Schizosaccharomyces pombe: one gene and its partner. The gene in region 1 interacts genetically with each later gene. Each region holds a gene or a part of one and is shown on either strand. Other genes may lie near its edges.

The links.
Region 2: of hri2 (region 1) and cmk2, a mutation in one rescues a mutant of the other (synthetic rescue), as found in Schizosaccharomyces pombe (one study listed by BioGRID).

What each region holds. Positions count from the first base shown.
Region 1 is NC_003424.3:953,734-958,524, forward strand, and holds hri2 (eIF2 alpha kinase Hri2), read right to left. Parts: upstream 2,878-4,791; 5' UTR 2,742-2,877; coding exon 2,627-2,741; exon of another isoform or gene 2,540-2,626; coding exon 2,501-2,539; exon of another isoform or gene 2,452-2,500; coding exon 1,917-2,451; intron 1,853-1,916; coding exon 622-1,852; 3' UTR 546-621; downstream 1-545. Other genes in the region: nuclear HMG-like acidic protein Mak16, read left to right, coding at 1-341; sno1 (glutamine aminotransferase subunit), read right to left, coding at 3,913-4,617. UniProt on the Schizosaccharomyces pombe protein: Mediates down-regulation of protein synthesis in response to stress conditions by the phosphorylation of the alpha subunit of eIF-2 (tif211) on 'Ser-52'. Protein synthesis is inhibited at the level of initiation. Activity is inhibited in the presence of heme.
Region 2 is NC_003424.3:4,089,294-4,093,904, forward strand, and holds cmk2 (MAPK-activated protein kinase Cmk2), read right to left. Parts: upstream 2,807-4,611; 5' UTR 2,787-2,806; coding exon 2,772-2,786; intron 2,732-2,771; coding exon 2,529-2,731; intron 2,464-2,528; coding exon 2,367-2,463; intron 2,065-2,366; coding exon 865-2,064; 3' UTR 501-864; downstream 1-500. Other genes in the region: rnf170 (ubiquitin-protein ligase E3), read left to right, coding at 3,036-3,791; rpl3401 (60S ribosomal protein L34), read right to left, coding at 4,136-4,474. UniProt on the Schizosaccharomyces pombe protein: Has a role in the regulation of G2/M transition during the mitotic cell cycle.

The sequences.
Region 1 (4,791 bases):
TAGCCGCACGTGAGGGTTTAATTGATGAAGGCGAGGAAGAGGAGGAACGAGAAGAAGCTGAATTAGAATTTGTTAGTGATGATGAAGATGAAGAAGAAATCTCTGATTTGGAAGATTGGCTCGGCTCAGATCAGTCCATGGAAACTTCAGAGTCTGAAGAGGAGGAAAGCTCAGAGTCTGAATCCGATGAGGATGAGGATGAGGATAACAAAGGAAAAATCAGGAAACGTAAGACCGACGATGCAAAGAAATCCAGGAAGAAGCGCGCTCCTCATATTCATATTGAGTATGAGCAAGAACGTGAAAATGAAAAAATACCTGCTGTTCAACATTCTTGGTAAAAAAAAAAAAAAGGTTTTGAATGTTATCTTTTTTTAAGGGATTCTGTTCAATAGTTTTTACTTTGTCGTTTTTATTTTGGATTATTTAGGTGTATAGATATGAATGGTTTTAATAATAAGGAATTTATCGGAGCTTTTACAAACAAAATTAGCTTTAATGTATCCTTGCTTTATTTTATTACTTGTGGCATAAAAGCGTTAGATATAAATAATGCTATACTTTCGGGAAACTGAACAAATTGACTGGAAATTTAAGTATTAAAAAGTGAAGATTTTTAGTTTAGCGGGTTTCAAGATGTTGAATCCTGGATCGTAGAACAGCAATTTGTTCACGCAGTCGCTGATTTTCATCCATTATAAGTTTCATTTGAGTTTCAACATCCAAGTGGTTTGTTGATACAATATTTGATATATTTGGCATTGAGACTTGGTTAGGTAATAATAGTCCACAATTGAGAACTTCCAGAAGTGATGGTCGCTTCGTGGGGTCTTTGGCTGTCATCCATAAAATTAAACTTGACTCACAAATATGTTGCTCAACGAACTCTTCAGGAAGATTTCCTCGACGAAGGTCTTGAAGTTTTGTTGCACGTTCCATATTTGTTTGAAACGGGTGCAACAGCTCAAACAAAACCATTCCTAATGAGAATGTATCGATTTTTTTTGTAAATTTATTATGCTGAGAAGACATAGCATCTAGCAATTCCGGAGCCGCGTAAGTTGCAGTGCCTATATGCTGAGTCTCATCTTGCAGATTAGGCAAGTGGTTTCGTTCAAGAAAAGAAAGTGCGGTTTCTGTGTTTTTTTTATTTTCAACAACGAGTCCAAAATCACCAATCTTAGGAGTAATGTATTCTTTCAAATCGTTTTTATCATTATAACTAATTAAAGGAACAGACCCACGGTCCTCCGGTAAAGATTTAGCAAGAAATATATTGCTGGGTTTGATATCTCGATGGATCAAGTTCACACCTTCATGTACGTACATAACGCCATTAATTATCATTCGGAATAAATCCGTATGCAGTTGTATTTGTTCCTTACATAGTGGGAATGAAAGAAAATGGTTTCTTCTTATTAGATAGGACTCTAGATCATCAAAGCAAAGCTGCATTTGAATATAAATAATAAAAGAATGAGTGGGTCCAGTTTTAGATATGTGCATGCTACTAGAATAGTCGTCATCCAAGATGGTGGTATTATTAAAAGTAGAAACATTAGAGTCATGAAGATTACGAGGGCTTTCTAAATTCTCAAAGTTAGAAGATTCAGTAGTGCTTGAGTAGCTAGATTTTCTGGAAGTTGAAATGATCGACTCGGTGCCAGGATCTTCTGCAAATAGTATATCGTCTGTAAGGGCAGAAGATTCTGTTGGTTCAAAAATTATGGAGTCCATTCCGTTGACATCACAATAGCTTGAGGTTCCAAGTACTCTACTAGAATTTTTAGACATTACTATCGGCATTTGTGTTGCTTCTGTGGTGCTTTCTACCCAGCTCGAAAAGTATCGACTAAGCCGATGTTAGAAATAATAAAAGGAAGGCGATGAAAACAAGTCCTTCTGATGATGCTTACATAACATTTGGATGATCCATTTTTGCTAGACATTTGATTTCTCTAAATATTTTGGAATAAGACATTTGCTGAAATGTTGAATTAATTTTCTTCATTGCGTATTCAGCACCGTCAATCTTATTTCGTACGTGATATACTGATCCAAATCCACCTCTTCCTAGTAAAGAATACTCCTCAAAGTCCTCTATGTAACGAGAGTTTCTTGACTGTAACCAACTCTCAAGCGTAAGATCACGGAATCGGAACTGTCTTACATTTAATCCATCTACAGAGAATTTCGAAAGAGCAGTTTCTTGTGGAAATTTTTCAAATACATTGGTGGGATCGGGTAGTGCTAAAAGTCGCTCTTCAGCATCGTCGAGACGGATTGCCTCACGCGCTTGCAGAATCAAATGGTGTAAAGCATCCTGATAATTGGATCTAACGGCTGCAAGTTCTTCAATATATTCTTCTTCCAAAATACCTATTTTTTGAAGAGTATGGCAAATTAAAGCAAAAAGTCGTTTGGACTTGGCAGGATTATTGTCATACAGTTCTTTAATAAGTAAGCAAGTAGTTCACATGAAACGAGAGCTTAGACATACGACAAAAATTTTCCAACAAAGCAGTTAAAAGCATCCGCCCTAATAAATACATTAGCTTAGGTTGTCAATGACCAATATTTTTAGTTCGTCAACTGCTTTATACACACAGTTGTAATTAATTCCTACCATGTTTATTGACAGACAAATCCCTTGATTGTCTTTCATTTTTTAAACTTATTGCATTTGTTGTCTCTGAGTAATTCCCATCTTCCGCTGACTTGTGAGCGTTGAAAAATCGCATATTTGTGATGATGGAAGTGAAAAAGGCATTAAGAAAACAACCAGTTTTTTTCTGCACTTATCAAAATATTTGTCAAAATCCCGTTAATCGCAACCAGCTAATCTCGTATCTTACAATGGAAGGTTAGAGAATTGTTAATGGAAACTTTGTGGTTGACTTTTCAGATCATGAAAGTAACATTAGGAGAATTTAACTCTACAGCTAAAATACATGGTTTCTACTGACTATGGTCGTGTTAACGATAAGTATGTATTTGTACTGTTAAAAATTCAGATAAGTAATTATAATCAGTCTTCTTTTTTGAACTTCTTCATTCGTGAAAAAGCAAGTCAATTTTTAAATTAGCATCGTAAACAGTAAGCCAAAGATACATTTATAATCTAAATCAAAGCAAAAAGAATCCAGCTCGAAACTGAATTTATAAAACCAATTTGTTTAAAGAATTGATATATTTTATTACCAGATAAATGTTGTGGACAGAAATCATTTGAATTATTAATTCATTCATTAGTTTTACCTCAAGATAGTAAGAAGGAAAATTGAAGAGAACGAGCACTTCAAGCTAACTATTAAATTTAATTACATTAGCCAGCATGATGTGAGGAAAAAACATTTTGATTTGACACAATTTAATTTATCATTTCACATTCATAAACAATTCTTTAATTTTTATATTAAATTATACTAAGTAGTAAAGAGCACATGGAATCCGTTGTGGTCCAACGGCTAGGATTCGTCGCTTTCACCGACGCGGTCGGGGTTCGACTCCCCGCAACGGAGTTTTTTATTTTTTCTTAATTTTGATTTTTGATTTATCACTTACTGAATAATTCCAGTGTACTAAAATTTAATCTTCGGTTAAATTTTCTATGGAATGTGTATCTATATTACCCAAAATAATGCGCATTTTTTATAAACATTTGATTAACTGATAATGTATTCAAACTATATGCTTTTAGCAATGGAAATGACAGCAACTTATGCAGCGCAAATGAACCTAGAAAAGATTGAAAGCAAATAACAATTAACACTTAAAATCTAAAAAATTAATCTAAAAGGATTTATTATTTAAAACTTAATGACTGACTAAAATAATAAGTGAGGCATTTACCTGTCTCAACTCTTTTTGTGGGATTATACAACATGCAACTATAGGCATGAATTTAAAAAACTAATCCTTTTTCTCCTTTAAAGGTAAAACACGCTCTTTTACCCACCATTCATGCCATCTATTATCGGCGGTCAGCTCGGGGTGAAACGATGTACCTAAAAAGGGACCTTGCTCAACCGCAACAATCTCTTTGTTGCCTTCATGAACAATAGTAGCTAAAACATTAATATCATCAGACAGGATTGTCGAAGCGACTGGAGCACGAATAAAAGTGGCCGAAAAGGAATGTAAAGGTTCAGTGGCTTCAAATTGCATTGACTCTGTAACTGTAATATCAGTTGTAAAAGACATAGTTTGAGGTCCAAAATAATTACGAGTCACTTCAATATCCATGGCGCGCAACAAATAAGGATCTGGGAACTTTCCACCTCGAGACTTTTTCGACAGAAGAATCATACCAGCACACGTTCCCCAAATAGGAAGTCCTTGATCAACCAAGTGCTCCAAACGATCACGAAGCTTCTCATCAATGTTGATTAATTTGCCAATGGTAGTAGACTCACCTCCTGGGATAATTAAGCCATCAATATTTTCGCAATCCTTAGCAGTTTTAACAGGAAAAGAAATTACTCCATCAATGGAATTCATTATATTAATGTGTTCAATAAATGCTCCTTGGAGAGCTAAAACTCCAATTCTAGCCTTCAACTGGGATTCGTCCACAGCATTGGTTTTAAGACTCCCGAACATGGATGCAGAAGACATTTTTTTAAAGTTTTTAATCGACTAGAAACGAATAAAAAAACAAAGAAAGTTTGAAAGAACTAAGAAAAACAAACGAAAGATATCCTGAAACCTATTGAACAAGTAGATGCTGATGAAGATTGATACACCCCTTACTAATCAGCAATGAATCACTCAAACCGTTGAAGATGGGTA
Region 2 (4,611 bases), 3.1 Mb from region 1:
CAACTGAGAAGCTCACTTTAATATATGCTTTATTTCTTTTTGGGATGATTATCGTTGTTCAGCATTGTTTCGTTTCCGATACGTTTTACTATTTAGGTAGTTTTTTTAATAAGCAATCCGCGCCAAGATAAAACCAATATGGATTGTGTTTTATAGGAATCTTTGGGTACGTCTTTTCTACTTCCTTTCTAATCATCGATTCGCTACGGAGTTCCAAAACCTTTAGCAAGATATAATACAAACCAATCCGCTCTCTCATCTTTTGACGATTTAACATCCATTATCGTCAAAATGCTCATGCTATGTACCATACCAATTATTGCGTGTATACATTCTTTAGATTCTATTTTTACTTTTTTTTTTACGAATGCCTGCATAGTTTTGAAATTCTCTTCTCCAAACAAGTATCCTTTAACCCAAGAAAATATTAATACATACTTTACTGTTAAATTAAATTTTCATCTTTAAATGGTATTATATTACTTTGAAAATGTATAAATGGAAAAGGTGTAATGTAGAAACTAGAATGTAAACAAATAAAACTTAATGCTTTAACAATTGAAAGACTAAAACAAAGATAGAACACTAAAAAGAGAATCAAACTAAAACTTGAAAGTTAAACATAGAGAAAAGAATGTAGGGCCATCATGTTGGCGTGGCCGGTGCGCTTAGAGAAAACAAATAAATGCCAAACGACTTAAAAACTCTAGAAAAAATAAATAGCAGTCGTGCACAGTGTACAGCAATGATATAATAATAACAATGACGATAGATGAAAAGAGCCAAAAGAGATAACTCTAACCATCAGCTTGTAAACTGGAAGCTAGATTTGAGCCAAAAGGAAGGATATAAAAGAAGGTTTGTTCAATTAACACGTTTAGCAGATCGCCTCGAGTATAAAGAAGATTCCTTCAAATTTAAAGAAAATGGATCCTTACCTTCACTTCCCAAAGTATCATTCAAAGGAAAGCTAGAAATGATATAGTCATCATCATCGGTAGTAGTTTCTTCATCTAAAATGAGTTCTTTGATAGAGCCAGTATTCATTGACTTCTTGCTTAATTGTTCAGGTGAAAATCCCAAATGATTTAAGCGACGAATATCATAAGCAACACCCATTGCCTCATGTACAGATGATACACCGGGTGTTTTTGGCTCCGAATAAGAACTTAAAAGAGGGTGAGTAGCGCTTTTGATAGGTGTCGTGGGTATATCGATCTCACCTTTAGAAACGAGCGAGCGTGGAAGGGATAATTTCGGTCCACCTGGCGTGCCATGAAGTTTGGGCTTATACGTAAAATTTTCAGGCATTTTTGACTCTCCTTTAATCCAGGGATGCTGAAAAAACTGGTGAATATCGTATCTCTCTCTAGGGTCTACAGTGAGTAAATGGGTAATTAGATCCTTAGCAGAGTCGGAAATATCATCCCACCAAGGCGATAAAAATTCAAATTCACCATTAACAACCTTAGAAGCCAAATCTTTTATATTTTCATCGAAAAATGGTGGGAACCCACATAGCATCGTATGAAGAACACAACCCATCGCCCACATATCAACGTTTTTAGAATACAACTCATCATTGACAATTTCAGGAGCAGCGTAACCAACTGTTCCACAAGGCGTTGCGGTTTTAGAATTCCAAACCACTTTGCTGAATCCAAAATCAGCAATCAGTATTCTTCCAATACCGCCCGCTCCAATACCTTCAAGAAACATGCCCTCATCAAGCTTATTTGGTTCTAAGCTCGGTGGGGTGTAATTTTGAGATGGGAGATATTCAATTGGTTGAAATAATAAGTTTTCTGGTTTGATATCCCTATGAACAATTCCACAAACGTCATGAAGATGCTTAACAGCTTCTGCCACTTGAATGATTATATGTCGTGCCAAGTTCTCAGAAAAGTAGGTAAAATTAACAATTTGATGAAACAGCTCACCTCCTTCAGCAAGCTCCATAACTAAGTGATAAAAATCCTCTGTTTCAACAAAGTCAAAAAGATTGACCACATTTTTGTGCTTAACACGACGCATAATGTTAACCTCTTTAAATACACCTTGCCGCTGAAAAAGAGTTAGATAAACAATAATAAAATAATTGATAGAATATTTGAAAGGGGAATGGGCAACAACAACTTCATAATACAATGTGCGAATAATGATTTCTAGCTTCACTAACTCATTCTCATTCATGTCAAAAAATTGCACAAGGCCTTTGTAGTTTGCCAAGTATAGCCACAAAACTATGTCTTCATGCTGAGACGTTATTATTCAACCCTTTCTTTTGAAAATTGATGAAGACTCCAAAAACCCAAATCCCTCTCAAATTTCAATAAATAAGTCATTAATTTCAATAATTTACATACCTGTTTTTTATTCATTTCATACTTTCTTATTACTTTAACTGCCACGTGCTCTTTTCGATCAATGGAATACGCCTTATAAACTTGACTAAAAGCACCACTTTTTGGGTCAGTAAATGATCATACTATAATAAAAAACGCCAAAGAAATTTGGACATAACTTACTCTCCTAAATTTTCAATTAACTGATATTTTTCAAGACCAGGGTAGTTAGCGACTCTTATTTCTTCATCCCCACCGGCATTGACATTTTTGGCAGCAAGCTCAGTATAAGCGGCGACGTCCCTGTTTACACTAACATCAACCGACTTTGAAGCATTCGATCTCCCCTTTGAGCTTTTCGAATGCTTTAACAAGTTTTTAAACCCCTAAGACCTATTAGTATAAGTGGCAAGGAAGAATGCGTACCGCTAGTATCGACATGTTGCATTGATATACGCTGTGGGTAGGTGCATAGCTGACGCCAACGCTCACCACATTCCAGTAATATTGCCCTAAAAATCTATAATTTGCTATCTTTTATCAAAATACTCTAACATTGATTAATTTTTAGTCTAATAACGATCAATTTAGATCTTTAATACTTTCAATGGCTTGATTTAAGCAGTAATACGCAACTTAAAAATTTTTTTTTCTCATTCGATATTTGGTGCACTGAATAATATAAACACAATGATAGAGTCGGAATTAGCGACTTCGAGGTGGAGCTTGATGCTTGAAGCAGATATTGCAACTCAAACAACTCGCAGTTTAACGAATGAGCTGAGCTTCATTGTAGCTGGTCTACGGCCCTCCACCAAAGAGTCTGTCCTTCATTTTTTGGAATTAATATTTATAAATTTAAAATACCAGTCAAAAAAATGGCTTTATTCTCTCGTTATATGCAAATCCCTAATCGCACTACTAGGACGAAAGCGTTTATCAGCTAATGTTAGGAAAATAGTTAGATTTCTGAATGTGATTATTTGTGTTATAGGTCTTTGGAAAGGGCTATCCGCCATGTCAGGGAAAAACACTTTCATTAATGGGCTGCAGAGTTATTTAATCTCAGAGACAGCATTACCAGAGTTAGGGTCATTCCAAGAACTTTCCACTTCCTCGTTAGGAAGTTTTCGAATGTTTCAACAAATAGCAGTTGGGTTTGTAGATGCACTCTTTTGCACCCGTATCCCTGCTTCTTTGTGGATTAAGTATAAGGAGTACACAACTTCCGCAGAAACCACTGTTCCTCAAGAATGTGGACTCTGTATGATGTGTGTACAAAGGGGAGATGAACGCGTAGCAATTACTACGCCTTACACTACTGATTGTGGTCATACATATTGCTATGCTTGCATTATGTCTCGATTGAAACTTGTAAATAATGTGTCTTGCCCCATTTGCAAGCATAGAATTAGATTTGCTTTGCCTGATCAGACAATGGGTTAGTCAAAGATGAATAAGTAATGGAATAACTTATACTGATATTATTTATGATTTTGTTGACTACGAAAAGTACGATAGTAAAAATTTACTTGTAATATCATAAAATTATATGCGCTATTCAGAACCATACAAAATTCAATAGCAGTGTACTCTATGAAAGCATGCACTTACTTACTCACAAAATTGCATTTCCTTACTACAATTAAGCCTTGTGTCTACGATACGATTATTTGTAAATACCACCATCTACAAGTTAATAAAATATTTGCACCGAAAAGATTCTTATTCCACTTAAAGAAATCCAAGTAAATTAGGGAACAGTAAAAAGTAATCGGTCAATCAGCTTTTTACTTTTGAGAAGACAATTGCTTGAGCTTTTGCTTGACAATCTTCTGTTCCTCAATCAAAAAGGCACGAACAATACGATCCTTAACGGCATTGGCACTCAAGCAACCGCCATAAGCACGCTGGACAGTCTTCTTGTTGTGTGAAAGACGAGCAAACTCACGAGGACGCAGAGCGGGAATACCTTGCAAAGGGACGCCAGTATCACCGCAGCGAGGAATGGTGCCAAGCTTCTTGATGTGAAGATAGCGAATGTTGTTACCAGGAGTCTTGATAATTCTGGTTCTGTTGCTACGAGTGTTGTAAGCAAGGCGACGGCGGTAGGTAACTCGTTGAGCCATTTTTGTTAGATTTTTTTCGTTTGTTCTGCGCAGGTTTCCTTTTCAGCTATTTGGGAAATTGTGTTGTGTGTGACTGTTTTTACTCTCGGTAGGCCACCCTTTTTTCTAAATACAGAGTAGCGTACTTCGTTATAAGT